Linked DNA regions of Arabidopsis thaliana. The protein of the gene in region 3 interacts with the protein of the main gene of each other region in a pairwise test. Each region holds a gene or a part of one and is shown on either strand. Other genes may lie near its edges.

What was found.
Region 1: the proteins of AT3G01690 (region 3) and AT5G28900 interact in a two-hybrid assay, tested with the Arabidopsis thaliana proteins (one large-scale study listed by BioGRID).
Region 2: the proteins of AT3G01690 (region 3) and AT5G22310 interact in a two-hybrid assay, tested with the Arabidopsis thaliana proteins (one large-scale study listed by BioGRID).
Region 4: the proteins of AT3G01690 (region 3) and ASIL2 interact in a two-hybrid assay, tested with the Arabidopsis thaliana proteins (one large-scale study listed by BioGRID).

The regions. Positions count from the first base shown.
Region 1 is NC_003076.8:10,922,834-10,932,373, reverse strand, and holds AT5G28900 (Calcium-binding EF-hand family protein), read right to left. Parts: upstream 6,740-9,540; 5' UTR 6,523-6,739; coding exon 6,370-6,522; intron 5,624-6,369; coding exon 5,396-5,623; intron 5,306-5,395; coding exon 5,200-5,305; intron 5,118-5,199; coding exon 5,018-5,117; intron 4,903-5,017; coding exon 4,797-4,902; intron 4,711-4,796; coding exon 4,620-4,710; intron 3,826-4,619; coding exon 3,684-3,825; intron 3,593-3,683; coding exon 3,445-3,592; intron 3,316-3,444; coding exon 3,206-3,315; intron 3,123-3,205; coding exon 2,966-3,122; intron 2,834-2,965; coding exon 2,708-2,833; intron 2,626-2,707; coding exon 2,482-2,625; 3' UTR 2,472-2,481; intron 2,337-2,471; 3' UTR 1,912-2,336; downstream 1-1,911. Other genes in the region: AT5G28910 (alpha-(1,6)-fucosyltransferase), read left to right, coding at 1-24, 112-359, 438-687, 858-1,741.
Region 2 is NC_003076.8:7,381,492-7,388,321, forward strand, and holds AT5G22310 (trichohyalin-like protein), read right to left. Parts: upstream 4,343-6,830; 5' UTR 3,855-4,342; coding exon 3,426-3,854; intron 3,343-3,425; coding exon 3,250-3,342; intron 3,175-3,249; coding exon 2,251-3,174; 3' UTR 2,092-2,250; downstream 1-2,091. Other genes in the region: NIT4 (nitrilase 4), read left to right, coding at 1-38, 125-273; AT5G22320 (Leucine-rich repeat (LRR) family protein), read right to left, coding at 6,684-6,830.
Region 3 is NC_003074.8:253,518-260,857, forward strand, and holds AT3G01690 (alpha/beta-Hydrolases superfamily protein), read left to right. Parts: upstream 1-2,777; 5' UTR 2,778-3,235; coding exon 3,236-3,537; intron 3,538-3,801; coding exon 3,802-3,838; intron 3,839-3,939; coding exon 3,940-4,176; intron 4,177-4,270; coding exon 4,271-4,318; intron 4,319-4,400; coding exon 4,401-4,862; 3' UTR 4,863-5,179; downstream 5,180-7,340. Other genes in the region: SEOR1 (sieve element occlusion amino-terminus protein), read left to right, coding at 1-131, 223-470, 566-827, 967-1,263, 1,358-1,729; AGP11 (arabinogalactan protein 11), read left to right, coding at 5,464-5,874; AT3G01710 (TPX2 (targeting protein for Xklp2) protein family), read right to left, coding at 6,474-6,719, 6,797-6,860, 6,955-7,020, 7,112-7,170, 7,235-7,340.
Region 4 is NC_003074.8:4,705,545-4,712,633, forward strand, and holds ASIL2 (sequence-specific DNA binding transcription factor), read right to left. Parts: upstream 3,633-7,089; 5' UTR 3,078-3,632; coding exon 1,746-3,077; 3' UTR 1,258-1,745; downstream 1-1,257. Other genes in the region: AT3G14190 (uncharacterized protein), read left to right, coding at 5,363-5,429, 5,514-5,789, 5,876-5,919, 6,052-6,246. UniProt on the Arabidopsis thaliana protein: Transcription regulator that may repress the maturation program during early embryogenesis.

The DNA.
Region 1 (9,540 bases), on a different chromosome or scaffold from region 3:
ATTCCTCCACCTCTCACATCATCAGTGAGTCTCAAAGATTTTGATTTTTGGTAACTTCTTATGTATGTTTTTTTTTTTGGTTTTTGGTAATGAAAATTTGTTGATATGTAGATATGGTTGCAAGTATAGACCGGAAACTGAAATGGAAGAACAAAGTTGAGATAGAAGAAGAAGATGAAGTGAAACTTTTGGTCTCTGCTTGGGATAATTTATTACTAAATGAAGAAGACTTCTTGAAGAAGGTAGGTATTAACAAATCCGATGTACCAAATGGTCCACATTTGGAGAATTGTGAGGAGAAGGCTCGAGTTAGGGAGCGTTTGGATACACGTTTGGCGAACTGGACACTTCCTCCTTGGGTATGCTTCTTCTTTTTCTTGTTCTTTGTCATCAAGCAATTAGTATGGTGAATGAACAATCAAAAGCTTGTGTTTTAGATCAGTGGAGGAGATGAAGAGAATTATCCGTTAACGAGGAGAGTGCAAAGAGATATATGGATTCATCAGCATCCTTTGGATTGCGGAAACAAGAGTCTCAAGTTCCTTGTAGCTGATTGGGAAACACTTCCTGGTTTTGGAATAGGAGCTCAGATAGCTGGAATGACTGGTCTACTCGCGATAGCTATAAATGAAAACCGAGTGCTTGTTGCAAATTACTACAACCGAGCAGATCATGATGGTTGCAAAGGTACATAAAGGCTTTAATCCTTTGAGTCTTCACTCTAACATATAGCAGCAACTATCACAAATTACATCTTCTTGGTTAATCTTCTTATCAAGATGTTTTAGACGCTGAAAAGTGTATATAAGAACCAAACTTTGGATTTGATTTGGTGTTTCTCTTTTGTTTTGATGCAGGTTCTTTTCGTGGAAACTGGTCTTGCTATTTTCTACAGGAAACGTCAGAAGAGTGTCGAAAACGAGCCTTTGCGATTGTGAAGAAGAGAGAAGCGTGGGAGAGTGGGATTGTTACAGGGAAACAAAATTATAGCACAAAGGAGATTTGGGCTGGGGCTATACCAAAGCAATGGGGTAAGCCTTGGAGTTATATGAAGCCAACTACAGAAATCAACGGAAGTTTAATCTCCAATCATCGGAAAATGGATCGGAGATGGTGGAGAGCACAAGCAGTGAGATACTTGATGAGATATCAAACAGAATACACTTGCGGTTTGATGAACATTGCTCGAAATTCCGCGTTTGGAAAAGAAGCTGCCAAGATTGTTCTTTCAGCTGGAGATTGGAGAAAGAAGAATAAGAAGATGAGGACAGAGATTGAGGAACAGGTGTGGTCGGATCACAAGCCGTGGCTTCCAAGGCCAATGCTGAGTGTTCACGTACGGATGGGAGACAAAGCATGCGAGATGAGAGTCGCAGCTTTAGAAGAGTACATGCATTTAGCTGATCGGATCAGAGATCGGTTTCCAGAGCTCAACAGGATCTGGCTCTCTACAGAGATGAAGGAAGTGGTGGACAGAAGTAAAGATTATGCTCACTGGAGATTCTATTACACGGAAGTGGCAAGACAAGTCGGTAATAAGTCGATGGCTGAGTATGAAGCGAGCCTCGGGAGAGAGATGAGCACAAACTATCCTCTGGTTAACTTCTTAATGGCGTCAGAAGCTGATTTCTTCGTCGGAGCATTGGGTTCCACTTGGTGTTTCCTCATCGATGGTATGAGGAATACGGGTGGGAAAGTCATGTCTGGTTATCTCAGTGTCAATAAAGATCGGTTCTGGTAACTTTGCGAGTTCCACACTATGTACATAATAAGACTCCTCTCCTTTTTTCTTCATCTGTTGCACAAAGAGTTTTCAGTATAATAAAGGGAGGTTTGGTTGACAAACAGTTCAGAGCAACCGCAAACCAACTAAACCGATTCCGATGTGAAGATTTGAAGATCAACTGAACAGAGCAAAGTGGCTTTTCCTTAAGAATTTCACAAATAAAAAGACATCACTTCAAGATCAATAGTAATAACACAACCAACCTCTTCTCATCTCAGTGACATCCTGTGTCTTCAGGAACCAACCAAAAATTAAAGGAACTATAGCATTGAAATTCACAAGTCTCAACATCTGGAGATGATGAAGTAACACCCAGAGATAGAAACATCAGAGCAAAGTGAATGCAATACAGGTGAAGAAGACTGTAAAATCTAGACGATTGTTAATAAATATAACTGTAGAATCAGCTAACAAATAAAGAGAAGTTAGAAAACAAATCCAAGCTAAGTATGGTATTCAACAGAGGATACTACCGGCTTTTCGTTTGTTTTTCACTTTCCTTCCTCAACAAAGCTCCAAATGTTCTTCTCAGGGACTTTACATTTCTCTTCTGCATGATTAAGTTATATTATGAAATAATAACATTTGCACAAGCATCAACATCAAAGTTTTTTCAGTTTCTTTTTTTTCTAATCCTTTTCCACTAGTTTTATCTTCTAGACACTACGGTTTTCCGTTGACTTACCTTTATGAACTCAAAAGGGAGCCTCCAGCGACGACTCATCCCAAACCTCAGCACTTCCATTAGATGCATCTTCAACATCTTCTTCCATTGATAGCCTAATATACTCTCTATGTGCAAAACGGTCCCAATCTGTCAATGTAGGGTTCTCTCGCTCCTGTTTCCGTTTGACATTAGAAATGTTATAAGACGCATGTGGTGGTGTGAAGAAGTAGCAAGGTAAATTAGATGATTAGTACCTGACGAATGAGGAATGGATCCCGGGTTTCAAATGCCATAAATTTGTTGAGATTAAATAGGATGTTGAAGACGTTTCCAGAGAGCTTTGAGCCTTTCAGGTCATGCAGCGTTATATGGCTTTCGTTCTGTGGAAGGAAATAAAAAACAATCAAACACAAAACAAAATCACAAGACTCAGAAAGAAAACTGGGAACACAAACTACTTCTGTGACTATACTAAATATAGAAAGAAGAAAACAAGAGATATATTGTTGAACCTCAGGTCCGATCATATCAATCATCTGACATAAGATATCCTCGAAAAGAACAGCCTCTTGCGCCATGCACTCCATTCTATGCAACTGCTCTTCATAAAAGAATTGCATCTCATTTCGCGTAATAATCCCATTTGCATCCAAGTCTATGCACTTAAACCTAGTCCAACGTATACTTGTGTCAGATAAAAGACTTAAAATGGTATCTGTCTGCAACTTTCGGACCCTTCTATCACAACTTACCAATATTCTAGGCTAGGCACTGACGATTTATCTTCTTCCGCAAGAATGAAATAGACAAAGTCCTCATACCCCATCTTCCCTTCAACTTTGTTAGTGAACTTCCTAGCAACCTGAGAAGAAACCAATGCATCTTAAGAGCAATAATAACTTTGAACGAGGAAAGAACTCTTAAAATAGAAGCAATATAAATAAAATCTTCAAGTAGTAGGCATTAAAGAGCAAGGTTTTTTAGACAGAACCTGGGAGAATATTCTGTCGACAATCCGGTAGGTAAGAGCATGGTTTCCATATCGCATAAGATTTTCTTTGTCAATCAGGAAATCGTGATCCGTATCCAGCTCCCAGAACTTGCAGTATATGACATAGAAATGCTCATACGAGAAGTATCTAATTGCCAAAGTGAATAGAAAAGTGATGTTAAATGAGCAAAAACAATACTATAAATACAACAATAGCACGCAAATATTTTTGTCAGTACCTCAACACTTTGTTAATATCTTCTTCTTCATCAGCATGTAGCATAGCATCAATTAAGTTTCCCCGTTTAAGCTCCCTAAATGTAATTCGACCATTGCCAGATCTATTTATGTAATAAAATATTCGGTAGGTGACAGTTTCAGCTGTTTCAGCAAAATACAAATTGTATCAGACAGAAAAGCATCCTTAAAAATTTAGCTTTGATACCGGTAGCAGCAAATACCAAAGAATATGGACTCCAGATATCTAGAAAGCAATCAAAGTGTTCTCGGGAATTCATTACTAACTGACGCATGATTCATAAACAAGCTCCAGAATTTATTTTTTCTGATATTGATTATATCTGCAGGATTCATAGACTGAAGATGATTCATTCCGTGCTTGAAAGCTTTATGGATTTGCAAGTTATAAGATGATGTCTAACACAACAAAACAAAGAAACCGTATCTTATAAAAATTTTAAAATCCATACAGAGTAATGCCACATTTATTACTGTATCTCGATGCATCAATTATCAAAATTATTTATTTCACTAGAAATATTATTGATGTGGTAACCATTCGACAGATTTAGATAAGTACATGGCAAACTTATTCACTCATTCTTCTCAACTAGGGCTGTAGCTACCAATATACTTCGAAGAATAAAATGTACAATCAAACTCAATTACTAAACACCATTACTCAAGCAATATCAAGAAGAAATACTATTGATCTGGTAACCATCTGACAGATTTAGATAAGTACATCATACCAAAGTGGCAAACTTATTCACTCATTCTTCTCAACTAGGGCTGTAGCTACCAATATACTTCAAAGAATAAAATGCACAACCAAACTCAATTACTAAACACCATTACTCAAGCAATACCAAGCGGAAAAAGAAAACATGAGATAACTTAGGATACTAAAAATGTAAATAAAGTTGAGACCTAACCATATCTTTCTTGGAATTCAGGTGTGGATTGCAGGAACTCTAGCCCAGGATGCGTCGCCAACAGTTCTTTGAGTAGTGGTTTGAAATCATCCTGCCATGAAAAAAAGAAAAGAATCTGGAATATAATAAACTCGCTCTCATGACTGACTGAATATGCAAATCTTAAAAGAAAATAACCTTAACAATGAAACTCTGATCTTTCTGCTTTAGTATCTTGAAGATTTGGGTCGTTGTATCCATTATCAACATGTTCCCGTTTACCCAAAAATCAATAAATGCATCTCTGTAGAAACAAACACGAAAAACTGTTATACTGGGTGGTGTTTCAGTAAACTATGCAGACATGAAGAGGAAGCACCATACAAAAAAAAAAAAAGCATAGAAGAAGCGGCACACACCTAGTAACAAAACCTGTATTGTTGAGATCGATCTTCCGGAAAAGGGAAGTGGAGAAGAAAGATGGGAGCTTGCAGATTTCTCTGGTGACTAACTTGAATTCTGAGTATTGATTGAAAATGGAGAAAAAAGTTAATAAACAGTTCAAATATAATTAGTAGAAAACAAATGACTGACTTCTAACCTTGTATCTGCAAGCCATCCATGTGACCATAAAAGAAGTGATTGATTCTAAACATACATTGCTCTTTAATCTCGCTTGGTGGAGGGCGACCATTTTGGAAATAAAACTAGAATCATTTCAAGTTAAGAAATCAGTGAGTTAACTCCATTCCATTACTATATATATATAAAGAAGGAAGAAAAAGAGGAAAAGAAACCTGAGGTATAGGCTCTTTAACAGGCTCGTTGACTACTTTGAGAGTAGAACCTAAGTTAGAAGGGGCTCTCTGTTTGGTTGTACGGGGTGAACCACAACTCCTTGGTGAAAGCGGAGGAGCACTTCCCGCAGGAAACATAGATGGTATAGTGGCAGAATTAGAACCCGATGCACTTCCAGTAACATTGATAGGAGCTCCAGCTACAGCATCCTTAAGCAATGATCCAACCTAGAAAACCAACGAGAAAAAGATTAGACTAGAGATTCCAGTGAATAGAGAGTAATTAAGCAACCAAATCTCATTAACCACCTAAGGCATCATTGTCATAACTCACACAATCCAAGAAAGATTCAAACTTTACACCAATCTTCAACACCACAGAGTAATTTAGCAAACAAATCTCATTAACGTAAGCTTCATTGTAATACTCACATAAGAAAATAAGAATATACGTCATAACTCACAGAATCAAAAAATGATTCAAACTTTACACCAATCTTTCAACACCACAGAGTAAATCTCAGTAACCTAAGCATCAATGTAACACTCACCAACACTATCAAAGAAAGATACGAACTTTACACCACAGAGTAATTAAGCAACCGAATCTAAGTAACCACCTAAGGCATCATTATAATACTCACTAACACAATCAGAGAAATATTCGAACTTTACACCATTCTCAGTAAGCTAAGCATCATTGTAATAACTAACACTATCAAAGATCCCAACTTTACACCAATCCTCAACAGAAACCAGAGAGTAATTAAGCAACCAAATATCAGTAACCACCTAAGGCATCACTGTAATACCCACTAACAGTATCAAAGAAAGATTCAAACTTTACACCAATCCTCAACACCACAGAGTAAGTAAGCAACCGAAGTATCATTGTAACATTACGAAAGAAAGATTCGAACTAACAGAGAGTAAGCTAAGAAGCATGAGTGTAAGAATAGTGAAAAAGCAGAAACCTGTCGCTGAGCTTCGGGAAGAGAAAGCCACTGGTCGAAGAGCTTCTGAGTGAATCCAGGTTTAGAATTGAGAACAAAGGAAGACATTTCCTGAAGCTGCAACAAATCTGCATCCAAACAAGCCATATCTCCGGGAATAACCGTATCCACCATATTTAATCAATCGCATCAAAGTCGAGAAGATGAGAGAATGATCTTTGAGGCGAGCGAAATTGGAATTTTGAACAAAGTCGAGATCTTCTTCACCAACACATCGAATCTAGTCTTCCTTCTTCTCCGATTCCGAACAAGGAAATGAGACAGCCAAATTCTTTTATTTATTTATTCTTTTGAGCAATCTGAAATAAATAAATAAATTAGAGAGATACCCAAAAAATACTTGAAACACAAAAAGTTGATTTTAAGGGTTTATAATTTATTAAATGTTTGGGTTTGAGTTAAGTTTTTTGGGGTTTAGGGTTTATTTTTTAGAGTTTAGGATCTAGTTTTGAAAACTTTAAAAGTAATTTTGTGGTATTTTCAGAAAATAATATATTTTAGTGGTACTTTCAAAAAAATATAAACTACTAATAATGTTTTATAACAAAAATTAATTTTATGGTATTTTTAAAAATATGTCCATAAATAAATTAATATTTCGTTGACTAAATAATAAAAATAAGTAAGTGTATTTGAAGTAGAAATTTTTTTTCTCAACATGTGGTTGGATTCTTGATTTTTTCTATATTTTGTCAACCACACATTAGTTAAAATATTACTTCATAATTGGTAGTCCAATCTTAAGGAAAAATATTTACGAAACAAATTTCATATAATATACTATCTAGAGTAACGAGTTAGACAATCTACCTTATACAAGAGCCATGGATTCTAGAAAGAAAGAAAGTTTTATATATCATATAAAAAATACTTGACGAATGAGAAACATATGATGTGTTTCATATCATGTTTTCCATATTTCATAAGATTTTCTTTGTCAATCGGGAAATCGTGATCTTTATCTTTATCACATAAATTATAATATATGACATAGAAATGCTCTTATGAAAAGTATTTTGTTGCCAAATAAATAGAAATGTGTTGATATCAAAAAAACTAACACAAAACTATAGTTTGCAAATACGTGTAACTTAAAGTCTGACTCAATATTTATAACAACAAGAAAAAAAAACTATTTTTGTTAGTATCTCAACACTTTGTTGATATCTTCTTCTTGATCACCATAAAGCATATCATCAATTAAGTTTCCACGTTTAAGCGTTCTAATTGTATGTAGATCATATCTAGATCGATTTATGTCATAAGATATTTTATAGGTAACTATTTCAACTAGTCCATGGAAATAAAAATTGCATTCTTGAAAACCTGAGACATGGTAAAATCTAATCAGGTTCACATAATTTTTCTTGACTAAATCACATATCATATATAATTCATGTACTTTTACCAAATTTAGCAAAATTATCCCCTTATTAACAACATTAACTAGGGAAAAGAAAAACTATAGTAATCTGTCATTCATCAGATCTCGTATGTTCTATATCATCTTCATCCATGTAATTTCTTTCTAGATTACCTCATTTGCCCACAAAGACATCAAAAGAGAAATTATGATGGTCACTACAAAACTTAAGAGGCAAAATATAACGTAAATTATATATATGAAAGGAGCTCAACTCTCTCCCACAACTTGACACATCAGCACATGAGAGCTTGCCACCTAGACTTATTAAAATAAGTAAAATATAATTAGTAATTAATTCAACATATGAACCTATCATAAGTAAGAACTTCAACCATCACTCTTTCTATATTTTTAAATATTTTCTTGAGCACTATTAACCTTAAATTTGTAACAAATCCTCTAACATGTTGATTTCATAACAAATTTAGCTGGTGAAATGTGTGTCGATCAATTAGAAAATATAGTTGTTTTTTATAAAATGATAGGAAGAAAAATAAACGGTAAATTATAACGATTGTGATTCTTTCAAGTTATTTTTTAACGTATGAAGTTCATATATGTTGGTATGGTGTTATTAAAGATATTAAATTATTATGATTATAGACATAGGCGATTGGGTTTAAAGTTTACAATTACGCTCACTTGGTTGGTTTTGCCAACACAAATCTTCCATTACCTGGTAAATATTTACTAAACATATGATTTTCTATTTAAAATATCTAAATATTAACATTAGTCTCAGCTTGAAATTATAAATATAATAGAAACATTATTGTATTATACGAATCTTAAATATTTACTATTCTTGGTTAATAACAACTGTGAAGAAAATAGAGAAGAAGAAAAAAACCAATAATCGAAATTACAACTAAAATCAAATTGAAAACAATACTAACCTGGTTTAGTAAGGCAATAAGTGTAATAAGTGATGTTACCTCGTCACCAGTGGGAAAGATAAGGAGGAAATACGCGGCGACTGAGCCAAAAAGCTGAGCAATCAAGTAGAAAATACCACTGAGGAGAATGATGTTACCTCTGACACACTGAGAAAGACACCGAATGTAACGACAGGGTTAACGTGGCCACCAGAAATGTTAGCGACAACAGAAACAAATAACAAGGAGACCTAAAGCATGAGCTAAGGCAGCGGCGACGAGGCCGGTAGGAGTGGTGGCTCCATTGTTAGTGAGCTTGTTGAAAGCAATTCCGGAGCATGAGCCAGCGAAGACGAAGATCAAAGTCGAGATAAACTCTGAGAGCACAACCCTAAGTGCGTTCAGATAATAGACCTCTTATTGGAATCCATAAAAGGCGATGTTTCTGGTCACCATGATTGGTGAATTATTGAACAGCTGAGGTTAAAAGCTTTTTGATAAAAGAGAGTGAAGATATTGGTTTGGTTTTCGTATATATATGGCCGAGTGTTTTATACTTCTTAGTAGTTGTAGTTAAAATCCATTTGTTTGTCATATAAACATATTATTTAGCATTTTTCAAATCAAATTTTTAAAACAAATTAAATTGTTTTTAATTTGGACAACTATAATAATACATTAGGTGCATGTTTTAAATTGTAACAGAAAAAGAAAAATGAAATTTACAGATATTCGAATGTAATTTTTTGTTAAATCTTAACATACTATGTATACATGTTGAATTGTCGACTTTGATATTCCAGACGCATGCCTTTCAATGTACCGACAACA
Region 2 (6,830 bases), on a different chromosome or scaffold from region 3:
AAACTATAGAGGAGAAGCTCTTATCACAGCTGATCTAGGTATATTATTAATTAACATTTGTTAATCATCATCATTCATTCTTGAACAAAAAGTTAACTAATCATATCCTATAAATCTCTAACAGATCTTGGGGACATAGCACGAGCCAAGTTTGATTTTGATGTGGTCGGACATTACTCGAGGCCTGAAGTGTTTAGCTTGAACATAAGGGAGCATCCGAGAAAAGCGGTCAGCTTCAAGACGTCAAAGGTAATGGAAGATGAATCCGTCTAACAAATGATCATTTGTTAGACCCAAACTTTCTCTGTAATTTGATGAAGTTTATCTGTAGTAAACTTCAAGACTTGTGTTGTAATTGAAATCGATAAAAAATCTAAACCGTTAGATTGAGTGTTGTCTTCTATTCCTCGTTTATACTATGCTTGGTTCTGCTCGTTCCATGTTCTTCAAATTTGTACATGAAACTAGTGATTCAATAACTTGTTAGGGATTAAGATGAGTCATTTTTACGAAAAAGATGAAAGAAAAACAAACCCAAATGGCCAAAACAAATAAGCTACCAATTCTCTCTACTCTTCCGCAACACAACACTCTCTATGGGTTTGGGCCTTGTTTCCTTATTTATTTCCCTGTCTCTTGGAATGGGCTTAGGCTTTTCTGTTTGTATCCACCCTGTGAAAACCTAAAACATTCATATAAATTGTTTTTTTTTGGTTTGGCATAGAGGATAAGCAACACATTCGTACCGAAACAAACCGAAATATGGAATTTTAAAAACTCTGTTTTATAGGTTTAAAAATTATGTAATCAAGTTCTGGGATAAAAATACGAAGTATATTAATATATAGGAAAACTCATATTTTTAACATTCAAAGTGTTATTTGGTAACACCAAAATCGAAACGAAAAGTCTGCCCATGTTTGAGACGATCTGTCCACTGACAGTTGATTTGCTAGTTGCTATATTAGTAACATCAATGTCTTCAAAATAGTGATTTTGTAGGTAGGTTCATTGTATATATCAATGTTTATTATACAGACAAAGGAGGAGACAAAGAGATAAACCACACACGAACTTGATAAGATCATCACTCTGACAAAATATCTCCCTATAATGCGAATGTTTTTAGCATTTGACCTTTCTCATTCAATGAGAGAAAATTAGTTAGCCTAGTGGCACTATATTATGCTTCAACTTTAGTAGTTTTATTTTGTTATACGAGTTAATGATTTATCCCTAAACTATGTAAAAGTATGAAACAAAAAAAGAAAGACAAACTTTTGGAACCCAAAACCCCTTGATTTGGTTTAATGGTACATATATATATGGTTCTAAGCTAAAATATTATATTGAGTGGGGGACATAGAGTAAGGCTGATTGGTATATGCATATATCTTTCACACGAATTGACCTATTACCTAATCATGTGTATATATGATCGAAAAATGAAGATCCGTTATTGTTCGTTATTGTTCATGTCATCTTATTAATTTTTGTAACTTTTTTGGTTGAATTGTTACCAAATATTCCCAAATAGGGTAAAACGTAACGGATATATAGTTGAGACAAAATCACATGGGAAGATGGAACGATGCTGTCCAAATGTCTAGACAATAATAGAGAAAATGTCTTGTTTCGTTTTTGATTCAAAATCTTAAACTAATCCTTTCTTGAATCAATTATATATCTCATTATTGTTCGTTCTTATTCTCATTGTTGTACTAATCATTATGATTTAATTTACACCAAATCAACGTTTCCATGTGTATATCTTCAATGCCACCAATAAATAAGTTCTTTAATAGTTATATACAATGTACAATTCACCTCCAATTCATTCCAAGCATGATTTGTTTGGTTTCCCCTTATTCTCTACATCTACATTATGGTCTAATTAGAGTTAGTTACAAACATAAAAACTCGTACGTAATGAATTGTTGTTCTCTAAAATAAGCACTTAAGTTCCGTAATAGACTTCAAATTCTGACAAATCACTTGATTACAAACTTGAAACTTCGATCATAAAAACGGAATATTTTGATAGAAAATGCAAATAATGATTTGATTGGATATGTGTAGTAAATTGAGGTTAAACCATTGTAGACGAAAAAATGTGATATACCGGCAAAAAATATTCCGTAATTGATTTTGTATTTCAAATTAAATTGAATAAATTACAAATACTGAAATATTATATACTATAAAAAAAAATGATTTCTTTTTCTTCCTCGCCGGCGCTAGCGGTGGTGATTACACAAACTCAGAGCTTGGTAAATTCCGATGATTCCACTGCTCTGACGATGAAGGACCAATACATCTAACATTTGAAACAATGTAATCTCTCAAAGTCTTCAAAGACTCATCTCTCTCACCATTCTCAACAATCACTGATCTCTTCTCCACCGGATCATCATCATCATCATCGCCGCCGGAGCCATCAAATCTCCGACGATCTTTCAGGCTATCAACATAACCCCATTTACTACCACTCTCCATGTTCAACTCAATGGACTTAAGATCACTCTCCTCATCATCATCAGAACCAGAACCATCAATCACCTCCAAAATCCTACGAATCTCCGACGACCCTTTTCCTTCTTCACCATCCAAAACCCGCCGGAGCTCCTTCTTCAGCCGCTCCACGGCGGCGTATTTATCTTCGAACTCAAACTTCGCCTCCGTAAGCTTCATTTGAACTCTCTCTTCCCTCAAAACATCAGCTATATGCATCATCTCTCTCTCTTTCTCCATCTCCTTCTTATCATCTCCGATTCCTTTAGTTAGCTCATCACAAACCTCTTCAAGAACATCTTTAGCTCTCTTCTCTCTTTTCATCTCCTCCTTCATCTTCCTCTCTGTTTCTTTAGCCTCCGTGAGCTCTCTCCCTAATCTTCTATTCATCTTCTCTGTTCTTCGCCGGAGTTTTCTCTCAACCATCGCCTCTTCTTGTAGACTCTCTATCAACCTCCGCTTCTCCTCTTCCTCTTCATCTAATTCACTCATTAGATGCTTTAGTGAAGATCTTGCTCTGTCTAGTTCACATAACAAAGCAGAGATCAAACGATTGCTTGCTGTCTTGTGATCATCTCCGAGCTCACCGATCCTTTTTAATACCTTTACCAGTTCTTTAGACGTTGTTAATCCGTCACTGACATTCTTGAAACGAGTTTTCACCTGTAATATAATTAAGAATCAGACCTTTCTTCTTCCGCAAGAAAAGTGTTTTTAGGGTAAGATTGCAAATCATACCGAGTTTGCGCCAATGATTTTGTATTCAATTGGGTTTAATTTCTGAGGATTTGTTGATCTTCTACGAATCATATCGTCACAGAGATCGATTCTCTGTGCAATTTTGATTTTTCAGACTTAGAATTTCAGAAAGAAAAAAAACACAGAGGAAACTTGAAACTGAAGCAAACCCTAACCTCTGAGCTTAGACGAGAAATCGGATCGGATGATCGTGGCGGGAAATCAATGGAAGAGAACTCTGTTGATTTCTTCGCTCTGTATCTCGATGGTTTCTTGCTTCTCAAGCAATCTTTATCAGAATTTACCGGAGGGTCTGCGTCGTCGTTGATTTCCCACAGCGTCGCAGCTAGCTTTCTCGCCGACACGCAGCTTTTCTGCAATTGATGATGATCTATAGGAAGATTTTCCGGCGAAAACGATAACAGAACTGGAGTTTTAGCGGCGGTGATGGACTTAACAGGAGTTCCTGAGCCACCGTCGTCTTGAGCGGCTCTTTTCCCGGCGAAAATTGCACGTTTGAAGCGGTTTCGACGAGCAAGTGAAGAAGAAGAAGAGGAAGAACCACCTCTCTTCCTGATCTTACAACCTTTCTTCCGTTGTTCCATAGTTGATATTCAAAACAACAAATCAGAACACAAAATTTTACCAAATCTTGCCGGAAAACAAGAGAAAAAAATAGGATTGAAATTGGTGCTTTTTAGGAGAAGTGAGTCATCTTCTAAGATCAGAAGCAGTTTCTGGAAGATTTTGTTTTTGAATCTCTAAATAGACTTTAAAGTGAGTGAAAGAGAAAGATAATACAAAAAGTGAAAGTTAAGATGATGTTTTTACTTCTTCTTAAAAGCAAAAGAAGAGAAGAGTAATAAGATTCTTGATCCCTTTGAAGACGTTGTGATTTGTGAAAAAGAAGTTTTGAATCTGGGAAATTGTGTTTTATTTTCTTGGGAGAAGAGAGATGTTGAAGAAGAGGAAAGAAAGATGGAGACAGTGTGGTGTTTTTGTGTTTGTGCGTTGTCTATTTGGGCAATGTAAATTTTCTTTGGAGGGTTCATGAACCGATGTTGTCCAATTTCGTCATTAATTTTAACAAAAATAATTTCATAATCAATGAGTACAAATATTGTTGCCGCTAACTCATTAATGCAACAATGACTTGCAAAAAGATATCATGGAATCCATGTTTCCAAATTAGTGCTTTCTAAAGAGTTTAGAATCTTTAGACCACAAGTTAACCTGGTTTGATCGGATTAGACAGGATTCTATTAAGTTTTTGTAGGCTTTTCTGGAGAAGAAAAAAAGAAGAGCATCAAATAAAGACAACGTACTAGATTATCAAAACTAGCATTAACCTCTATGCTAACGTCAAAAGCTAACATGTGTTTTCTAGAACTTGCCAAAAGTCGAACAGAACACGGGTTTAGGTCACAATTTAACCTCGTTTGATCGGATTAAGACCCGACTCATTTCGTTTTTGATTAGTATTTTTTTTTTGGGAAATAATATGAACGTCAAAAGAGTTAAAGACAACGTACTACGTACTACTATAAAGTAGCATTGTTTTCAACAAACATGAATATGGGTGACATATTTTGAAATAAATGAATATGCATAGACAAGGCAAGATACATGAGCCAAGAAAGTATACTCCTTTTTTCTTATGTTTTAGGAAAAAAAATTGTATTGAATTAGATGATGTTTTTTTATTTTTAATGCAAAATTGATTAGTTTTTATTGATTTTGACGATTTATATCATGCAGATTGTTCAATTATGATTGAATAGTGTTTAGAAAGATAATATATAGTATTTTTGTTTAAATGCGAATATTTGTTATACACAATCCAAAAACACAAACAGAAATATAATTATTATAAATCATTTTCGTTTAGGATTGAATAGTTCTTCATTTTATGTTTTAGGATTGTGTTTATAAACTTATGGCTTTTGTCTAGAGAGGTAGGTATTAAGATCAATACACTAAAATTTTACAGACAGTTGTTATAAGTTATTGGAATTGTCGCACATCGAAACTTTGACAATTTTGACACTAATATATATAGTAGATGTTCAATCATTGCTAAAAATCTCTCATTAAACAATCATAGTTACACAATGAATACATGGTTTTAGATTTTTGGATTCATAAAAAAAAATATTGCTGCTCTAAAACATATAGGATTTTTTGAATGTAAATCAGACATAAAATTTCCTAGATGCCTTAACGATTACTACTATCCAATCATAATTCACAACTCAAAACCAATGATTGTCTCTATACTAATTTGAACACAAGTTTTGTGATTGGCATATGAATTATGAAAGACAGGCACATGCTGAGTACAAATAATAGTAAATACTTATGGAACATCCCAAAGAGATAGATGCCTTCTCTGCCAGTCAAATCAAATCCATCCTCCAGATTCTTTTAACTCCATTACAAATAATTTAACATATTACTAATTTAAAAATAAATTAATACGAGTAAAAAAGAATTTTAAAATGTGTGAAGACTAGAGAAGTGCCACGATGATAGAAGAAAAATACAACATAGATGAACGGTTCAGATTAAAAAGAGTTCTAGTCTGTTTCTCTTTTATTCCTTTGAGTCTTTGACTACTACTCACATATCACATGGAGAATTTGACAAAAATGTCATATCACTATACTTTTATTCAATATACTAACTACTCTTGCAGCAGCAATCTAAACTCTACTTTAAAAACGACGTTCTTTTTTGTCAAATAAGCTAAACTAAAAAAATATCGTTTACAATATACAATACATACTATGGGTAATTACATACATTCAATACGGGTAGATACGGACATTTTGAACTAGCAAATCGGTTTTAACATTAGCATTACAAAACAAACATAGGAAACAAAAGAAGATGACAAAAATTTCTAACTCTTCTCTACGTCTTCATAATATATCACAAATGTAGACCACATTTACACCTAATCGGAATAGTCTGCACTAAAATTAATTTAGTTTTCTTTTCTGAAATCAAAATTCAAACTTCTCATTGTCCAAACTAGTGTTTCCACATTTTTCCTAGCATTTAGCTTGTATCATTTTATTTCTCTTTTTTATTACACACTAGAAACTAACACAATAAAAATAACAAATATTAAAGCGTGAATAGAATGGTCCCATGGTCTAGTGGTCAGGACATTGGACTCTGAATCCAGTAACCCGAGTTCAAGTCTCGGTGGGACCTATTCTCCTTTTTTTGTTTTGGTTTCAATGACACAAACATTTTATAAAATTAGATATAGCTTCTCAACAGTGCAGAAAACAATTTATAAAGAAGATCGAAACCACTTTCTTCCTCTCCTATGTTCTTTAACCATATCAAAATACTCCCTAGCCGTTGGATGTTACAGACATAACTGTCCCTTCTTTTAAAGAGTAAAACACTCCCTCTGTTGCAGTTTACTCCCACTTAGACTCTCCTCCTAACCCGATCTCAACCTCCATGGGAAGATCAATCACTACACTCTTGCTTTGCTTCTTTTCACTCTTCTTCTTCTTCTTGTTAGCTTTAGTATCTATCACTTTTACTAAACCTGTCTCTTGGAC
Region 3 (7,340 bases):
GCTCAGAGTCCTTAAAGGTGTTGCATTCTCTATTCGACACCACTCACATTGATAACATGAAGATTCTCACGGCCTTGGTTCATCCCAAACCCCACATCACTCCATTGCAAGATGGTTTGACCAAGAGAAAGGTTTTCGTGTTAGGTTTTTTTTTATAGAAAGGTTCATCAATACAAAAGATTTTAACTAAGAAATCTCTGTTCTGTTATATGAATGTTGCAGGTTCACTTGGATGTGTTGAGGAGGAAGACAGTGTTGCTGCTCATCTCTGATCTCAACATACTACAAGATGAGCTATCGATTTTCGAGCAAATCTACACAGAGTCAAGGAGGAACTTGGTTGGGGTCGATGGTAAGAGTCATATGCCTTACGAGGTTGTGTGGGTTCCAGTAGTGGATCCTATTGAAGATTTTGAAAGATCTCCGATTTTACAGAAGAAATTTGAGGATCTCCGTGACCCTATGCCATGGTATCTAACACATTTATTTCAAAACACACATTCTAGTAGTTGTAAAGAAAGATGGAGAAATATAATTGGAAGTTATTTTTTTTTGTGGGGGTCAGGTATTCAGTGGATAGCCCGAAGCTGATAGAGAGACATGTGGTGGAGTTTATGAGAGGGAGATGGCATTTTATGAACAAGCCGATACTTGTGGTGATTGATCCACAAGGCAACGAGGCTAGCCTCAATGCGCTTCATATGATCTGGATTTGGGGCACTGAAGCTTTCCCTTTCACTAGATCTCGTGAGGAAGAGCTCTGGAGGAGAGAGACCTTTTCCCTTAACCTCATCGTCGACGGCATCGACTCTGTCATTTTCAACTGGGTATTTCAAAAGTCTCATCCTTTTTTCTTTTTATGATTGGCCTGGAAACTCTAGAAACAGAGCAGGCAGGGTTTGACCTAAATTACATTCATTCAAGAACGAGGCGTGATTAATGAACAATGATGGGTCTGATTTGCAGATAAAACCGGATAATTACATTTTCCTGTACGGAGGAGATGACTTGGACTGGATAAGGAGATTCACAATGGCGGCCAAAGCAACGGCCAAAGATTCCAACGTGAACCTTGAGATGGCTTACGTCGGAAAACGAAACCATAGCCACAGGGAACAGATCAGGCGTATCAGTGAAGTAATCAGGTCTGAAAACCTGAGCCATAGCTGGGCCGAACCTGCCTTGATGTGGTTCTTCTGGACTAGGCTCGAGAGCATGTTGTACTCCAAGATTCAACTCGGTAAAGCCGATGATCACGACGATGTAAGAGTTGACTAGCTAGGGTTTTCAATTATTTCGGTTCGGTTCGGTTCAATTGGTTAATGAATGATTTTGTGTGTTTGAAAACGTTGATTAGGTGATGCAAGGAATCAAAAAGATACTAAGCTACGACAAGCTTGGAGGATGGGCACTACTGAGCAAAGGACCTGAGATAGTGATGATCGCTCACGGTGCCATAGAGAGGACTATGAGTGTTTACGACCGGACCTGGAAAACCCACGTCCCGACCAAAGGCTACACCAAAGCAATGTCCGACCACCACCACGATGAGGTCCTCCGTGAAACCGGAAAACCTTGCGGCCACTTTGATTTCCACATCACTGCTCGGAGCGGTCGGATTCCGGAGAAGATGAATTGCTTCGAGTGTCAGCGTCCGATGGAGAAGTACATGAGCTTCTCTTGTTGTCACGATGAAAAGCTCCACGAAGACGAGAACTACAACTTCTAAATGATGCAATAAGCTCACGTCTCTTCCCGCTGCTTTTTCTTTTTGTTTTACGTAATTTGAATTCTCTATATAGTTTTTCATAAATAATTTCTGAATTTCAATATCTTTGTATGAGAGAGAATTGGTCATTCCATGTGTGTGGTTTGGCCTTTGTGGGACATGTTCGATTGAAGTATTCCTAATAATTTTCAATAATTAACAATTTCTTCTCTTAATAGCATAGATAAATGTTGAATTTATTTTGTTAATAAAATTAACCCTGATGAATACAACAATTTTGAATATGTCAAATTAGACCAATTCAAAATATAACTATTTGCTTTCTTTCTTCTCATAATGTTTATATATCCCACTTTAGTAAATGGACCCCCACGAAGCACACCACAGCATACTCTTTTTTATTCTTTCCAGTTTCTAATGGTTTACTTATATACTCTTATCATTTTCTAATTGATCAATTTGTCATTTATTGGCTTATCTTCTTATAAATGTTTTTTGTGTTAGTTGTTGATATCTCATTTTCTTGTCCAGTGAATTATAGCATTTCAATGTGTCCCTCATGTCGTCAATATAATGTTTTATTTTCCTTGTTATGATCCATATCTTCATGTGTGGTCCATCTTCAAATAAAGAATGGATTGTTACTACTCTTATCGTTTGGGCTAGTTTTTATAATTAGACACAAAATTTGTAACTTTCATTCTTTTTTTAGTATTTAACACAAAGTAATTTGATGGATTAGTCTAAATAATAAAGGCAAAAAGTTAAGTAAATGTCAAAAGAGATATGGCATATGTCTAATCATAACCAATGAATTGCATGGTTCTATCTAAATAGCAACCATATCATCCCACATGCCATTGTCCACCTTGTCTATCTTAGGAAAACACTTTGTTTGTAACTCTATTGTACTCTTTGAATTATGAAATCTATGTAAACCCTTCTTATTGTGGGGGACAAAGGCTAATTTTAATGGTCTGTCCACTTCTGCTTGACTTTGATACATAAATTAGGGGTGGCTCATGTCATATCTATGAGAATTAGGTACAAAAGAGTTTTCAAATGAGCAAGTTGTATTTTTATTCGATTAGCCGTCGTATTATGTCAAATATAAGTTAAAAATATGTAAAAGTACAAAATGTAGATTATGATATTAGGGATGAATTGAGATAAAATTACCTATAATTTATTACTACGCATAATAAATAATTTGTTACGTTAATTCTCATAGATACGTTATAGCCAATACCGAACCCCTATTTAAGTCAAAAGTACTTCTAAGTATTTTTTAGCGTAAATCAATTTTTATGAAAAGCAACAATTAAGATTAATGTAGTAATCTAGTAATCGTTAAAAAAGCCACTTTGTTAGTATTGCTTAATACTCTCTCTCTCTCTCTGTTCCCAAGGAGATGAAAAGCTTCAATCTCAAAACATAGCAGCTCTCTCAATAAACCAAACCCAAATGCAAGCTGTGTAGAGAGAAACGGAGTGAGGAAGGAAGGAGATGGGAGGGGTGACGTCATCGGTGGCGGCGAAGTTTGCCTTCTTCCCGCCGAGTCCACCGTCTTACAAGGTGGTGACCGACGAGCTCACCGGACTGTTGCTTCTCAGCCCTTTCCCCCACCGCGAAAACGTAGAAATCGTAAAGCTTCGGACCAGGAGAGGCACAGAGATCGTGGGCATGTACGTGAGGCATCCGATGGCTACCTCCACGCTCCTCTACTCCCATGGCAACGCCGCCGATCTGGGACAGATGTATGAGCTCTTCATTGAGCTTAGCATCCATCTCAAGGTTAATCTTATGGGGTCTGTTTTTCTTTCTCTCCCTTTGTAATTCGATTGATTTTATTATTATGATGCTGATTTAAAAATGTTATCTTTGTATGCTTCTTTTGATTGATTTGGTATAGGATTTGCCCTGTTTTGATTCTCACGTTTCTAGCTCTGTTTCTAGTATTTGCTCTGTTTATGTTTGGAGTGTTTATTCACCACCCCAATAAAAAAGGAAACTTGGGCTAGGATCTGCTTGGAATCAATCAGTCTTTGATATTATTGGTTGTGATGTTGCAGATACGATTACTCCGGGTATGGACAATCTACTGGAAAGGTTTGTCCTTTACCCCATCAATCTGATTGGTCTGATGATCCATTATGAGTTTTAGGACCAACTCTCAAAAATCTTTCTTTCTCTTAAATGATTGATTGTAGCCGAGTGAGCATAACACGTATGCTGATATCGAAGCTGTTTATAAGTGTCTTGAAGAAACCTTTGGCTCTAAGCAGGAAGGTGTCATCCTCTACGGCCAATCTGTAGGCAGCGGACCTACGTTAGATCTTGCTTCCCGGTTGCCTCAACTTAGAGCCGTCGTCCTTCACAGCCCCATTCTCTCCGGTTTAAGAGTTATGTATTCCGTCAAGAAAACCTACTGGTTCGACATCTACAAGGTAGACCACGTACCAATTCTTTCTATTAATCCTACACATTCTCCAAATTGTAATGTAAGAAGCTTGTTGTGTGTGAGTGTGTGTTTTTCCGCAGAATATCGACAAAATCCCATATGTCGATTGCCCGGTTCTCATCATTCATGTAAGTCAGGTTTCAGATAGATACATTTTCGTTTGAATTTTTGATAAGCTTTTTGGATCCAAACAGTTTCAAATATGTGCAGGGAACTTCGGATGAGGTAGTGGATTGTTCTCATGGGAAACAACTATGGGAACTCTGCAAAGACAAGTACGAGCCGCTCTGGGTGAAAGGAGGGAACCACTGTGATCTTGAACACTACCCTGAATACATTAGACACCTCAAGAAGTTCATAGCAACAGTAGAGAGATTACCATGTCCGAGGATGAGCAGCGACCAATCAGAGAGAGTGAGAGATGCGCCCCCGAGGAGAAGTATGGACAGGAGAGTGAAGCCGAGGCAGAGCACAGAGCGTAGAGAGAAAGAGAAGCCACCAAAGAGTCAGTCGAAGATGAGTAGCAGCAGCAGCAAGCTCAAGATCTCGTTTGATCAACTTGATCGCTCGCGGAGGAGCGTTGACTGCCATGAAAAGACTCGGAAGAGCGTTGACCAGATTGAGAGGGGGAGGAAGAGTGTGGATAGGTTGGATAGAGTTCGCTCCGAGTAAAAACCACACACTCACACTCACACACGTATAATACGTATGTAGATGAAAAGAGTACATAACTGTTTCTATTTACCGAACAAAATAACATGTGGATGTCGCTCCTCATATTATTGATTTGTAATCTTTTATGCAATTTGGGATCTCTCTCGCCATCTCCTTTTGAATCAACAACCTTTTGTGGTGGGCTTGAATATCCATCCTCTGTTTTTAGATGAGTTTTTAGTGTTTGTGGTAAGTAGGAAAGTTCCAAAACAAAGATCACACATCTCATGTGGGCCTGAACTAAATTCATGGCCCAATCGTTTGTTCTTAATAGAAATCCAATTTTTAGGATCTCGCTATCTTTTGCTACGTACAAAAATTAATATATACAAAAAGTAGCTCACTTCTAAAATAAGGCTAATGGATGCCCATTTTCTTCTCAAATCCATCGATTTTCCTAAAATTTCTCAAATTTCAAAACATATAAATCCATCTCATTGTCCTCTTGTTTTCCTTCATCTGAAGCTTCTGCAGTATTCAAACAAATAAAATATACTGCTTTAGCTTTGGACACCTCCTCTTACTAATCTCTATAACTATATTTAAAAAGTAGAAAATAATGGCACGTCTATTTGTCGTAGTTGCCCTTTTGGCTTTGGCCGTGGGCACCGTATTCGCCGCCGATGCACCTTCAGCTGCACCCACCGCCTCACCAACCAAATCCCCAACCAAGGCTCCTGCCGCTGCACCCAAATCCTCCGCCGCCGCACCGAAAGCATCATCCCCTGTTGCTGAGGAACCCACCCCTGAAGACGACTACTCTGCAGCCAGCCCCAGTGACTCCGCCGAGGCACCCACCGTCTCCTCCCCACCCGCTCCTACCCCCGAAGCCGATGGTCCCTCCTCCGACGGACCCTCATCTGATGGACCCGCCGCCGCCGAGTCACCCAAAAGTGGCGCCACGACTAATGTGAAGCTCTCCATCGCCGGCACTGTCGCCGCCGCCGGATTCTTCATCTTCTCTCTCTAAGTTTTGTTTTTTAATTAAACTTGAGACGGAATCATAAGATTCACATTATGAGATGAGGCCGTATCTCTTTAACTAACTAACTATACTATATACAGTGATTTATATTAATCAAGAGATTGAATGGAGTTATTATTATTACGTACCGTTGTTGTACTATGTTTTTTTTGATTACGTAATTTTTGATGATTGTGAACTTATTAATGTTTATTTAGAAATTAAATGAAAAACAAATTTTTCAAAGAGGGCATTTGGTCTAGTGGTATGATTCTCGCTTAGGGTGCGAGAGGTCCCGAGTTCAATTCTCGGAATGCCCCCTTTCTTTCTTATTTTGTGTTTTCAAATCATATATAAACAAAGTTTACAAATATTCATACAATGCAATCTAGTAAAATTCAATATTCCTTCTTGGAATAAAACCAAATACAGTATGTCAACAATTCCAAACTAATCCTTTTTTGAGGCAATCCGGTTTTGATAGTTCTCCCCACAGCCACAGGCGCTAAGTCAGCGCAATATCTCTCTGAAAGATGATGATAGGGAGTTTCTGTAAGACCTCTCTGCTACTGTAACAGAGCCTACAAAGACCACACAGAGAACTCTCAGACACAGAAACGATGGCTACTATCTTTTTCTTTTAGTACTTCACACATACATTTGGCGATTAGTGAAAGTAAGCTTACTTTCTTAGTTTGGTCTGTTGATTTTGGTCTCTGTTTGTAGAAATTTGGAAGTGGCTTCGCTTTGAAGCATAGCCTTTGCCTTAGTTTACTCTCTTCCTTCTCCACACTCCTCTCCTCCGCCTTCTGGTTCTGTGTCTCCATTTCCTTGAATTTCCCCTCTAGCTTCTGAAACACAAGAACCAGTTAAATGATGGTAAGTGACAAGACAAAAGCGTAGAAACCAAAAATATCTCTATTCTTGCCTTTTTTCTTCTCTCTGCTCTCTCCTCTGTTCTTAAGCCAAACGGTGTAAAACAGCTCGGTGTCCTGCTTTTGTTTTCCAATAACTTGGTTAAAAAGGTACGTACACATTATACATTTTTGAATTGAGTAAACTCTTATGAAGATCAGTTCTTCTTACTCCGCAGGGAGGAAATTCCATCTTCCTCGACCTGTCTTGGCAGAAGAATTAGGAGCTATCTTCCCTCTGCACTTACTGTAACACCTGATTACTTCTCTAACCACTCGTGAATGAAGGAAGTAAAAAGAAGTTTTCTAAGAGTTAATTCAGTTTTTACCTTGTGTTACTCGATAAAGGTGTGGACAAGGAGTCTTCAACCATTCCCTTTGCAGACACCTGCAATCATCACAAGAGCATAAGCACTTGGTTGAGTGAAACACAGTTTAAAGAATGCAGTCACCTTGTTTGATGGTGTCCGGAGAGGAGTTTTGCAGTCTTTGGTTGGTTTAGAAGAAGCTCTTGACCCATCAATCTTCCTTATGATGGACACCAATCTATTGAACTCT
Region 4 (7,089 bases), 4.5 Mb from region 3:
ATCTACTTTAGAGAGAGAAAGTGAAATCAAGAGAAAGAAATAAACGTTCTTCAGACAAAAATCACCATTTTTGTTGACGTGAAGTAGCGTATACGATGACAAAACAAAAAAAAAAAGAGAGTAATAGAGCGTAAAATTTGAAATATTAAATTAAACAAAAATCAAAGAAAGTCGGCAGTAATTACGAAATTCCGGAAACAGGTCTCGCCGAATCCTAAACGGCTTTCGTTAGTTACCCATAATACCCTTTTATTCTTCGAATTTATTGCTGTGAAGTATATAAATTGGAGGGGTAAATTAGTCTCTTACCCACAGATGGGCCAAGGAACAAATGGGTATATTGGTACTTTGCCTTTCAGATCCAAATATTTAACGTTAAGAGTAACAACGATTCGCTGTTTTAGAGTAAAATCTCTATGTGCAAAATGTATATTATGTTAAATAAACACTGTACTAAATAGATGCTGACAAAAAGAAGTATTTAAATTAGAGCTTATTCTACTCTACTGAAAATTAATAATATTAACACCAACCATTTTTATTCCAACTTTTGGAGACACTTTAAATCAAATGATGGACCCCCTGAAAAAATATCTAATTATAGGATATCACTCTTTATTCTTCTTTAATTTTAATGGACAATTGACCCTAACTATATATTTATAATGGAGACATGGCTTTAAATCCTACCCAATTCTTTCTTTCTTTTTGGTATCTTTTCTTGCCCACTTTAAAAAAAAAAAAAGAATATTCATTTGTTACATTAATAATTTACTATTTCTTTAGTAATCACTACTTTTATTGCTAGATTTAGTTCCAAAAAAAAACTTTATTTTGAAAAAAAAAACTTTATTTTGAACTTTACTAAGGAAAAATCTTGATTAGTAATCCTAGTGATACCAATATATCATTAGATAATATCTAATCTATATGTCTAAACACACGTGGACCTTTGGAATCAAACTCTTTTCTACCTAAAACAAAAACAAAATTCAGAAGATTTCAAGATGCTTTATTTCTTACGTTTTCATTATTGTATTCGTTTCAAAAAAAAATAAGAATAGTGCAAGTTAGAATGATGTTACGGTGGGACTCGGAAGATGGTATTTTTACTCAAATATCATGATTCACCTTTCGATACATGAATATTAGCTTAGTGCGGAAGGTAAAATTGTGAGAAACATCTATGTGTAATGAATTTGAATTGACTGTCATTTGTTTAGTACCTATAAAATGCCAAAAGGCAAACATCATAGAAAAATAAATAAACAGACCAACGAAAAGGTTTCTTGCCTAACATTCTTCTTTTATAGAAGATCATCATTGGTGGTTTGAATGATGCTTCAGACACAAGAAAATCTAGCTCAAACAATTACTCAAAAGAAAAAGAGTTAAAAAAATGCTTTTAGGTACACATGCAAATCTCCAATGTCATAATAACCAAACATAGCTTTAAGATTTTGCGGTTGGATTGTGTCAAAAATGTCCTATGCCATGTTCTAACCTAACTAGTGAAACACAATCTAACTCAGAGATTAAGAGAAGTTCAAAAACGTGCACAAGAGTCTGCAGCAGAATGATCTCAGGCAATCTAGTGAAGTTAAATCTGTTCCATATGACCAAAGTTAAGAAAGATATGCAAAATATTAATACACTCATGAAGCCTAGATAAGTTTCAGTTTCTCTTTCAACAATTAAAGACTCAAATCTAAAATATATCAATTACGACACTGCATCACTAAATTCTAGTTATTACCCAAATCGTTGTTGTTGTTGACAATCGCATTGATGTTGTTCTTGCGGCTGTGATGATGATCATTACTGGTGTTTCCCATTCTCCTCCCATGTTGCTGCTTAAGTTGTGATATCTCCAATTGAGTCTTCACAAAGAACTGCATTCTCTGCAACTCAAGCTCCTTCAAGAACTTCATCCTCTCTTTCTCCATCTCAACCACCTGTTGCAGTTTCGCATTCTCTGTTTGCTCATAAGCTTCACCGAATCTCATGATTGCCCGAGTCAGCTCCCTCCATTTGTTCCCCACTCCATCACCATCTTGCTTCTTCTTCTCCTCCGTCTTCATCCTCTTCGACAGAGGAGGAGGTGGTAAACTGTCACCGGAATCATCTGACATTGCTGCTTCAGATTCCGAGTCTGAATCAGAAGCGTTCCTCTTCCTGAAACGCCAGCGTTTCGACTCACTACACCTTTTCACCATCATCCCTTGCTGCTGTTGCTGTGGCAGTGTCCTACCTTGCTGTGGCAGAGTCCTCCCTTGCTGTCCAAACGGAGCTGAACGGCTACTCATCGGAATTCCCATAGGTACATTGACAGATCCTCCTCCGCCTCCTCCACCACTGCCACCGAAAGAAGCAGCTGAGACTCTAGCCGTAGCTCCAATTAACCGGTCAAGATTATTGAAAGGCGGTGTTGCAGCCTTAGCTTGCTGATGGTACAGATTCGAACGACTTCCCATTGGAATACCCATAGGAATCTTATGCAATCCTCCGACAGGACCGCTGACTCCAGAAGTTGCCGTCGGGATCTTCGCCGTTGATCCAATCAGACGGTCAAGCTTGTCGAAGAACACCCATCTGCTACGGCCACCGCCGTTAGCGATTCTCACCTTCTCTTGTTTATACTTCTTCTTCACCGTATCGATCCTATTCTTACACTGTATATCAGTTTTGGGAATTTTACCGTAATCCTCTCTGCTGCTCACAATCTCAGCCACCTCTTTCCAGTGCTTCTGCTTCAGATTCCCTCTGCTAAGCTCCAAGTATCTCTCACCCCACGCATCAATCAACACAGCCGTAGCTGCTTCGCTCCAACAATCCTCCCTCCCGCCGCCGCCGGTTGGTCTCCCACTGCTGTTATTCCCTCCACCGCTGGCCTGAATCGGAAGCAGCGCCAGAGCCAACGCATCCGGATCCTTCTGCGACGAATTACCCGGAGGAGTCAGAGAATAAGAAGGCGGACCTGCCGAAGCCACCGTAACCGTGATTCGTCCCGCCGGCGGGGAGGAAGACGGATCAGGTGAATCGGAACCCTGAGATCGGATGTCTTCATCGTCCTCCATGGAATTCGATATCGCCGGATCTGAGTCAGAAGCTCGTGAAAGAGGGAGATAGGGTTAGGGTTTGGGTTAATATTCTGTTCGGGAGGGGTAAACGGGAAGGAGACGGCGTCGGTGAGTAGAGGGGACACGTGGAAGGACGTGAGAAGATACGGGGAGATGACGTGGAATGACGTGATTGGTAGGTCAGAGGTAAGATTCCGTCACCGGTAAAGTTGCCGGCTCGGTTTAGGGGTAAAAGATGGGTTTGTATCGTAATTTCCCCATTTCTTCGTAATCCGATGAGGAAGTGTATTGACGGAAAAGCCCATCTAGTTTTACTATAATTACCGGAACTATCCCCGTGAACCATTTTTCCGGTGATGTACCGAAATTACCCTTAGCCTAACCGTCAGTTTCAATATCGGTCGTAGACTTTTTTTAGTCCGTCGATAGTTTCCAGTTGTCTTCCTTCGTTGTCTTGCTTCATTCGTTAAATCGATTCGAATTAGTCTCTCTTTTAACAATAAGAACGGTGACGTGGATGTTATTTACTTTGGGCATGGGTTTTTATTGGGCTTTCCATACGCTACGTTAGCATGTTATCACTTAGTATCATTTTTTCTTTTCACCATTGTCAAAGATACAACTTTAAACATTCCAGAAATACTATGTTTCAAAAAGACCTTATATAATCTTCGTGAATTGTGAAACAAACAGAAATTTAATATTTCTCAAATCTCAAAACACCAAAAGCGACCATTATGTTATGTACACAGCAAATATATATATACAAAGAAAAGTAGTTTGGGATACTTCTTCTTCTCGTAGAAATACCTTGTAATATTTTTCAACGGTCCAATGCGTTTAGCACAATCCTGCAGTATTACCGGACGTTAATTAGATATGGTGGTACTAATGAAAGCGATAATGCGTTGGATAAAATGAAGTATAGTTTGAGAGGAAAGAAAAGAGAGGGAGATCAAACCAATCGCAAGCATTGAGACTTGTAGCATGTGTTTCACTTGGTGTTCCAGCTGCATACAAATGATTTTGGTAATCATTAATTTACAAATCCATAATACTCTCAAGCTAATAATGATTATGGATGTCAAAATAAAAAAAAAAAATAATAAAAAAAAGCTTATAATGACTATGAACATATGTATCACCTTGCAAAGTCTTTAATTTACATGAATATATAGGGTTTTAACTGCTCATAACACAAGCATAGAAGATAAAAAAAAAGTGGATCAGAAAGGATTTTTAAAAAAGGTAACATAAGAGTCAAAGGGGAAACGGGGTTGCTTGAACGGTCAGGAGAATTCGGGACACGTTTCAGATCCACCATCAACTTCCGGTTGGCACTTTCACCGGATATGTGGTTTCTCAACTTCCCGAGACCATTTTCCGGCGTTGGACCGGCCAAAGTTTCATCCCACAACTTGTGCGAAAAACCCATATCTCTGATCAAATTATTAGAAGGGTTTTTCTTGTTAATTGTCTCTAATGTGTTTTGAAAAGAGTTTTTTTTTTGTTAAGTCTTCTTTATGTGAGGATAATGGTTTTATATAAGGAACAGGAACGAGAAGCGTTGAATATCCTTGGTTAGACTAATTATATACACTTTACCTATAATTTAACCTTCCAAAATTAAGGAGATTTAATCAAGGATGATGATAAATCTAGCCGATAAGAAGATAACTTAGAGAAGTGTGACATGTTTTGCTTCTATCTTACATGATAGTTTGATGCCGTCAATTTGATTTATGTGATGGGCCTGTACCTGGGCCAATTCTTGATTAGGCCTGCATTAAAATATTCTGCCAACGGCTAGAAACTTTTTCTCTTCTTCTATAAATTTACTTTTTTTGGCCTAATCCCGGAGGTTCTTCATTATTTCGTCAGAACAACATTGAAAAGTTACCGTTAAACACTCTAAGCGCTCTTCTTCATCTTCTTATACACTTCTCTTCCAACAAGAATCTCACCAAGAAACTTCTTCACTTTTACAAAGGTAATCTCTTTCTTCCTTCTGATTTAGGTTCACATTATAGACTGTTCTTCTTGCGATTGTTTGTTCTTCTTTTCGTATGTCGCTACTTGATTCGTTCTGGGTTTCTGGGGTCTGTGGTGTTAAATTTGCTTGAGGATCGAATTGGGTTTTGTGAAAAAAACGATCTTTGTTTCGATTTCGAGTTGGGTTTCTGTTACCTTTTTTAGGGTTTCTAATTGCTTAAAATCGTCAGTTCTGGAATCAAATCTTCGTTTCTGCAATTGGTTCTTTGATGATTCACAGTTAAAACCATATGGCGAACATGAACGCTCTTCAACAAATGATCTTCCCAGACGAGAACGCTCCAATTCATCGCAAAAGTAGTTAATCTTTCTCTACTCTCTTTAAATCATATTGCTTTGAAACAAAGATTTAACATTTTCTTTCTTGGCTATTATTTACAGAGTCTGTCACTGCTGCTTCTGTGAAATCCAAAGGGACTGTACTTGGTCAGAAGAAACCTGGAGGAGCTCGTAAGGCTCTGAATGATATTACAAACAAGTCTGGGATTCATGCGAAAGCTGCTGCTTCTTCAAAGAACAAGCAAATTGCTTCTGCTGCTGTGAAAGAGATTGATATAGCTGGGGAAAGGTTTTTACATGATCACAGCAAATGCATCAAAGAACAGCAAAATCTTTGGGATGATCACTACTCTGCTGATCTCATGCTACTTCATCATGGTATTGTATTTAGATCTTCTAAGCTATGATGTTTAACCAATCTTTGCGAGTAAGCTTGTGCTAAACTTGATCTTTTGTACTTGCAGGTTCCAGCATCAAGGAGAAGCATCTCAATTGGGACATTGAAAAGGTACTGTACTTAAAAAACAATGTCTATCTCTCTGTCTTTGATGGAGATTTTGGTGAGACTGCATCTTTAATCTAGTTTTGGAACTTAAAGTGACACTTTTTATGACTCTATCCTATGTGTTTTTGGTTTCAGATGGATGCTAAGGACGATCTGACTTACGAAGAACCAGAAGAGATGGCATCGCCCAAGTTTTCTGATTGGCTGAAGAACTCGACTCCATGGCGCTCTCCAATCCGTCATGGCTCTATGATGCCTTCCACTCCTCTGGCTTGGCGGTTCGATTCATGCGAATTCACACTTAAAGAAGACTCTGACGACCTCTTCTGAGTTTCTGTTTCTTAATGTCTTCAAAATTCATCCTTCAGATGAAGTAGTAATAGTAGTAGTGGCGTTTATCTTTTGTTCAGCTCTTCATGAATCACTCTGTGTCTATCACTTTGTAACTGGTTTCAGGAAATAAAGTTGGTATCTTTTCAAGTATTTTGACTATTCATCAAATTTGTGCCATATTCAGAATCTGAAGTTTCGATTTACACTGTCATGTTTCAAGCCACAATCCTAAACATCATCAGAATTCACTTTTACAAACATTCATCTCTTCAACTGTGAACTTACATTGCCGTTATCCTTGACACTATTGGTGACTTCTGACTCTTCTCTCACTGTCTCTATCCTCGCGACTGTTCCGTAACACCTCTAATTGAGCTTTAAAGGACTGCATTTTCTGCAACTCAAGCTCCTTCTTCTCCTTCTCCAGCTCCACCACTTGTTTAAGCTTTATACCACCTTTTCATAACTTGCTGCAAATCCAACTATTGCCATTGCCACCTCTCCAAGCTCCATCTCATCCACTTTTACCCGCGGTGGCAGCAATAATGGTAGTTTACTGTCGTCAACTGAGTAAGCAGAAAGTTCAAGTTCAGATTCTAATTCAGTCTCAGAAGCAACTCTTTTCCTGAAATGCCATCGTTTTGGATCACCACTCGTTGTTCAGATTTTGATTCAAGTCTCAGAAGCAATTATTTCTCACTCTCTAATGGTTGGTAAGATAAGAAAGGTTCGACCAAAATGGAACAAAAAATAATGTAAATTTTTATGTAATCAAATGCTGAGACAATCAATAACTAATAAGAATATAGAAGGAACTGTGTTTGATCAACATAAAGCAAT